2 linked regions of the Tribolium castaneum genome follow. The protein of the gene in region 1 interacts with the protein of each later gene in a pairwise test. Links are inferred from orthologs where the notes say so. Each region holds a gene or a part of one and is shown on either strand. Other genes may lie near its edges. The genes, in order: Unr and Sxl.

Region 1 (3,838 bases):
TAAGGACAGAGTATTTATAAAAAATAAGTGTGTTTATCACATAATAACTTTTCTATAAAAATATTTAGCGAAATTCTTTTTATTATTTTCACTGTTGTTATTCTTTCCTTTGTGCAAACGAGCCGAAACCGCAACAATGTTTGAGCATTACAGCAAACGTTATCATTATTTTTAAAATCAAATTATAAATTCAAATACATAATAATTAATGATGTCATCATAACTGGAATCTAATTTGCTTTGGAGTCTGTATTTTGTGTTGCATTTTTTACTTGCTCGGTTCTGAGTCTAATGTGAATAACCCTGTATTTTTATTTTTACTTGAATTCTGCAATTCGGGATTAAAATTTACTAGACATTTCGGACGTGCCGAAAACAGTAACGAAATTTTCGTAATTCTTCATTTAATCAATTATTTAGCAATTCTGCGTGTATACTGTTAATTTTTTACAATTTAGAGAAAAATATTAAAAATATTTTAAAATATAAAATATATAAAATATGTGTTGGTAAATACTAGCGTTGTCTTTGGTTGTGCGCTTTTTCGTGATTATAAAGTTTTTTTTGTTGGAATTTGAAAGTGGATAAAAAGTGAATAAGATTTTATTTTTGATTACAAAGTGTTATTAATACAATTGCGTTATCAAGTACTATAAGTATTATTGAAGTGATTTTTTTTCCACTGAAAAAAAAAAAAACATGAAATATTGAATCTACAAAGCTGCAATTAAGATCAACAACTGTTGATACATTTAAGCATAAATTGTTCCAAAAGGTTAGGCTGTTGAATGTCAAGATACAAATCATTTCGTGTAATAAGTGTAAGTCCCAAAATTTATACAACGCTCCAAACATGCGAATAAAAATTTTCTCGCCATTTTTTCAGCTCAGTGGCGCTCCCAATGGTAATTTTACTACCAAATAACCCTTGATTACCGCTGATGCCATAATTTTTTTGTATTTTATGTAATAAAGGATAGATAATACAATACACTGCTCGCTTTAAAATTCCAAAGAATGAGACAAATAACTTACTAATTATTTAACAAAAATTAAATACCGGGTTCGTCAAGTTTTACACTCAGGCACTTCACCTCTTAGAAGAGAGAAAAAAAATAGGAAATAAGTATATTCCACTGCACTGATATCCAATCTCGCTAGGAAAAAAAATATTTTTTTTCTATTGATTCATTTGTCCAATAAAAACGAAAAAAAACATTTGACCAAAAAATCACATTAGCTTTTTTTTACATCAATAGATCGGAAATACGAAACAAAATTAATCTGCAAAAATTTGACTTGAAAAAAATTGTTAGAATTGGATTAAAAGCCATTTTGATATTATTCATCGGAAATTTCAGTATAATTTATGAGGGACAAGATTGAGTAGTAATAAATCTTCGCTACAAAAGGATCCACTACCTACCCCAATAACAGTAATGACTGAAATTTTACAACTAGCGGCACGGTCCCATCGGGCGGTTTTAAAGCCAGGACCGGAATAAGTACACTAACGTGTTTAAAATGTTTTTATTAAAAAATTACATCAGAAGTTCAAATTGATGACTATTTTGGTCTAAGCACGAATTCTTCGTTTACAATTCGCATGAACTCTTGCCGTAAGATTTAAAGATTAACATTCCATTTAGAGTAAACAGATAAAATAAATGGTAATCCGGGCCTGAAAAATTCTTACCAGCTGCCTCAACCTTCAGACCCACCAATGATCGCGTGCCAATTTTACTACAAATGTAATAATTTTTTTAAAATCACCATCCTGATGGAGACCTTTTGTGGAAGTGATTTACAATTTTACCAAAATTCATGGGAAAAAAGCTGCCCCAATATCAAACAGAAATTAAAAATCAACGACACATTTTCTCAAAAATCTAATTAGGCACTTCGATACACTACCTCAAAATACACCTATGGACCAAACATCGTTGACATTAGACTATAGTTAACTAAGCGAAAGTGAAAAAACACACCATACAAGTAATCATTTTAAAAGTTGGTCAAATCGTTCTTCTATACAATAAAATCACATATGATTTTTTTTAGAATTTTATATAAATTACAAAGATGTGTAAAACTTGACGAACCTGGTATTATTGTATGGATGATTCCTGAAAATAAACTGTTGTAATAGTATTGATTTACGAATAATTAAGTTAAAAAAATTAAAAATTTGAGTGACAAATGCATTTTTGTCTTTCATTCGAAAATTATGAAGCGTTTTTTGTTCTTCAATTTTTACTACTATTTTTTATTCGTAGGGGCAACTTGGGGGCATGCCACGTGCGTCTCGAGAACCCAGCCCACCCAGTAAAATACCAAGGCGTCGTATGTTCAATGAAAGAAAGTTTCGGTTTCATCGAACGCGCCGACGTCGTCAAAGAGATCTTCTTTCACTTTTCCGAAGCCAAGACCAAAGAGGAATTACGCTTAGGCGACGACGTCGAATTCACCATTCAAACGCGCAACGGTAAAGAAGTCGCCTGTAACATAACCCGTCTACCTTCCGGCACCGTCATCTTCGAGGACCTCAAACCGGAAATCCTCAAAGGCCAGGTGCTGAAGCCGCTAGATCGGGGCCCCAATGCACGCCACCAAACGGACGCCCTCCCGGGGCGCATCCGCTACCGGGCCCCCGACCACTCCGAAGTGGAGATCTCCTTCGGAGACAAGGACCAACGTGGGGACTTCACGCTGCGTCATGGTGATTGGGTGCAGTTTAAAATCGCAACGGATCGTCGAGATGGACTCAATAGAGCGACGCATATTTCGCTTTTGGACGAGAGTTTTCTGGTGTCGGGCGAGAAGCGGGAGCAAGGAGTTGTGGCATCGGTGAAGGAGGGGTTCGGGTTTTTGAAATGTGTGGAACGTGAGGCTCGATTGTTTTTCCATTTCAATGAAATACTGGATGTGGATAGAGAAGTGGTGGTGAATGACGAGTACGAGTTTACTGTCGTTCAGGATCAGACCAGTACGTTTTCGAATAATCGACAAAGTGCCATTAGAATGAAGTGGTTGCCGCATGGAAGCGTGCAGTTTGAGACGAGAGTTGAGAATAATTTGACGGGGACTGTTTTTAAGGAGATACCGACGACGACGTGGTTGAATCGAAGTCCCACGAAGAATCAGAATGGAGAACATGCTCCCGAATCGGGGTTGATCACTTATCAAGTGAACGGAGTCAAAAAGACTTTACCATTCTATTCGAAAGATTGTGATATGAAGCATTACCCGAGGCTTGGAGATAAGGTAAGGATGATTTTTAGGGGAAAAAAATCGATAAATTGAGTGAGACAAGTGACATACACAAAGTGTCAGTAAGTTAGACGATTTTTTAACAAATTCCCCAAAATAACATAAGTAAAAACCACAAACATTATTATAATAATAAAATAGCGGAAGAATAGGATTACAATTTACATTACCAGACAATATACGATATACGAACGACGCGTCATAAAATATTCTACGAGAAGATAGTAAGGATAGTCCTAAATAACTTAAAATGTTTATATAATTATTTTTGTCATAAAATATGTTAAATTTGTAACATACAAATTTAACAAATTTTTTCTGAACATTTTCAATTCGATTAATATGAACATTATAACAAGGTTGCCAAATAATTGTGCAGTATTCCAAAATTGGACGAACATAACAATTATATAATAACATTACAACACGCAAACTTGAAAAATCAGAGCACTGTCTTATTATAAATCCTAATGTTTTGTTTGCTTTCGACAAAATGTGGTTAACGTGATAGTCAAAACTTAACTGGCTGTCTACAATAACTCCTAAATCGCGAATATGAGTGACACAT
Region 2 (3,299 bases), on another chromosome or scaffold:
TACATGTAACAAAAAAAATATGGGAGTGCAAACCTTCCATCAAACAATGGATAATCGAATAAAATTGTAGAAATTTTAAGGTGAGTGAGTGTTTGGCAATAAAACAATTACGATTATCGATTTGTTTGTGTTTTTCAGGCTTCCAAGATCACGCGCGCGATTTACAACAAACAGTATTACAAAATTGATAGCAATACGAATAAATAAATTTTTTATAAGAATTTTGTTTAAAGAAAAATATTAAATAATTGTTAAATTTCCAATCAAAATAATGGACAAATGCATGTCACTAGAGTTAGATATTGGATCTTGGCAATATTGTTGTTTTTATATATAGCAGGCGTCTTATTTCTATCAGCGGTCACTCTACATGAACCCAAAAATTTAACACACGGAAAAGTAAGTAAAAATGATAATTATTGGTGTTATTTAATTGTTTTTAGCAAACGGACCGTAATCAGCCCTTTTCCCGTCTAAAAAACTATGAATATGGAATACCAGGACTTAGACCACCTCTTCGTGGTCGTTCCAAAATCCAATGGTGTTCCACAGAGCTGAAATACATCCATCCAGCTATACCACCCGTCGCCTTGGTATCATTTCCGGGAAGCGGAAATACATGGTTACGTTACTTACTTCAACAAGTTTCCGGTTTTTACACCGGTTCGGTTTACAAAGATTACGGTTTGTTGAAAAATGGTTTTCCCGCCGAAAATATCGCCAACGGTTCGGTTCTTGTCGTAAAAACACACGAATGGGGTTACAATGCTCGGAAAATCTTTTCGAAAGCGATTATATTGGTTCGTTCACCGGCAGCTGCGATCCAAGCCGAATTTAACCGACAAAGCGGTGGTCACATTGGATTTGCATCACCCGATAGATACAAACGGACTAAAGGAAAATGTATATTATTTATTGTATTGATAATTTTTTTAATAACTTATACTTTTATCAGATTGGCAACAATTCGTCAATGATAAGCTCGAAGCTTGGAAACAAACCAATCTCGACTGGTTATATAATTTTACAGGACCAACGCACGTAATTTTTTACGAGCAACTTGTCGATAATCTTGAACACACCCTCAAGACGATTATAAATTTTCTCGACATATCAACGGATGAAAATTTATTCAAATGTGCACTTGAACGAAAGGAAGGAATTTATAGGAGGAAACGTCGAGTGCTCAATTTCGATCCATATACGGACGAAATGAAACGAAAACTGGATAAAATACAAAAAAAAGTCTACGAGGCGATTTATAATTTTGCGACGCCGAGTTAACAACAACGTTGTTGCGACAATAAGGCCTTTTTAAAACGAAACGAGTGGCCAAATTTTTCTAGTATCTCTCTTATTCATGTAAACAGTGGCAATCAACACACGATTATAGGCCTAAAATAAAATTATACAAACACAATTTTGCGACTTATTTTCATTGCTCAAATTTGAATTTACATTAATAATAATAAAAGGTTGAGAATCGCTGAACTCGTAAAGTGATTTATCATTTTTCGACGTTGGTAATTCTGTTCCCACTATCATCAATAAATAATCAAGTTTGTAGTGGTAGAAAATTAGTTCGTTTATTTATTTTTCAAGTTTTTTCAATAAACAAAGGTAAGCCCCTTTATCCCGCCAATTTCCAGTAAATGATTATGTTTTTGTCGTACTTTTTACTCGATTTCATCCTCCTAACCTCTAAATGACACATGGCCATTTTGTTTCAGTTTTTTGAAAAGATGCAACAAGAGAACGCCGCCAACGGCCCCCAAAATGATTTAAATGTGGGGGCCGGAGATCAAGTCGAATGTGACAAATCGAAACTTATCGTTAATTACATCCCACAATTCGCAACTGAAGAGGATTTAGCTCTAATTTTCACTCCCATCGGACGAGTGGAAAGTATTAAAATAATGAGAGATTATAATACGGGCTATAGTTTCGGTTTCGGTTTTGTCAAGTATTTCAACGAAGAAGATGCCGCGAAAGCGATTCAAGTTATCAACGGAATGAATTACAAGTAATTGAAAATTTAAGATTAGAACTGTATTTATTACTGTTGCTATTGTCTTGTAGAAACAAACGCCTGAAAGTGTCATATTCGCGTCCTCCAGGTGCCGATATGAAAGCATCCAATTTATACATCACTAACTTACCCAAAGACGTGACTGAGGACGATGTTCACAGACTCTTTTCAAACTATGGAGAAATCATCCAAAAGTCCGTTTTAAAGGACAAAATTACCGGAATGCCACGTGGAGTTGCCTTTGTCCGGTATAATAATGATGATAATAATAATTATTAAAACTTTGTAAATAATAATTTGTTTTTCGTTTAGTTTTTCGCGAGGAGAAGAGGCCAAAGCTGCCATAGCCGACCTTGATGGCAAACTGCTTGAAAACGCAATGCTTCCGTTGAGTGTTCGCGTAGCAGAAGATCACGGCCGTCAAAAAGCTCAATATTTGGAAAATTGGAGTTTTTCAATGCACAACAGGGGTAAGAAACGGAGGTTTTGACTTAATTTTGGCATTTCGGGTGTTTAGGTTTTGTACCACCGTTTCGAGGAGGGACAATGAATCCCTTCAGGAAAATGCCACCACAGCCGCCTGATAATTTACAAAACCGTAATCGCTTCCAAAATTATAATTCGAATAATGTGAGAAATATGGGAGCAGGCGATAATTATCTACAAAATTCGTTTTTTTGTTAATTGCTTCATTTTTTCTTTTTTGTTTCTGACTGAGAATGGTTTTTGTGTTAATTGAAGAGTTGATTTTATTTTACAAAGTTTCTATATTTATTTTTATATTGATAGAAAAGCGTGCCAACTAATTGTATGTTGAACGCTAAATACAATAGACATTTATTTATTTATTATTATATATATTTATATAAAATAGGAAAAAATATGTACGCAATTGATGTGCCTAAGAAAAAACTTAACACCAGCTATGGTTTTTTTTTTCTTTTTGACACACAAAATGTGTTAATTTTTTTCTTAACCAACGATCTGAATAATTTATTGTAATTTATTTCTAGTTTCAAGTGAATAAAATTTTAATTGTTGTTTTCTATATTTTTTCCTTTTATTTAATAAATTACCTACTAGGTTTGGTGTTTCTTCATCTCTGCTTCTTTTGCCCTTTTCACTTGCATTTCTCTTTGTTGTTGTAGCACTTTTTTAAACACATCGTCTTCTTTTTCATTATCAACATCTAATAAAAGAATCAAATCAAATAATAAATTAATCAAACAAGTCCCTACTTTGTTGATATGGAGCCGCCTGTTCTTCACCC

What was found.
Region 2: the proteins of Unr (region 1) and Sxl interact in binary tests that used the Drosophila melanogaster proteins (3 or more experiments, as listed by UniProt). The link is inferred for Tribolium castaneum from reciprocal best matches to the Drosophila melanogaster genes Unr and Sxl.

What each region holds. Positions count from the first base shown.
Region 1 is NC_087394.1:5,367,167-5,371,004, forward strand, and holds part of Unr (cold shock domain-containing protein E1), read left to right. Parts: intron 1-2,276; coding exon 2,277-3,264; intron 3,265-3,838. UniProt on the Drosophila melanogaster protein: RNA-binding protein that acts as a regulator of dosage compensation in both males and females.
Region 2 is NC_087401.1:17,596,394-17,599,692, reverse strand, and holds Sxl (sex lethal), read left to right. Parts: upstream 1-1,541; 5' UTR 1,542-1,620; intron 1,621-1,730; 5' UTR 1,731-1,742; coding exon 1,743-2,023; intron 2,024-2,079; coding exon 2,080-2,277; intron 2,278-2,341; coding exon 2,342-2,519; 3' UTR 2,520-2,546; downstream 2,547-3,299. Other genes in the region: WSCD family member AGAP003962, read left to right, coding at 280-399, 444-903, 956-1,284; GPN-loop GTPase 1, read right to left, coding at 3,109-3,218, 3,268-3,299. UniProt on the Drosophila melanogaster protein: Sex determination switch protein, which controls sexual development and dosage compensation in females. Sxl protein is only active in females: it is inactive in males throughout development.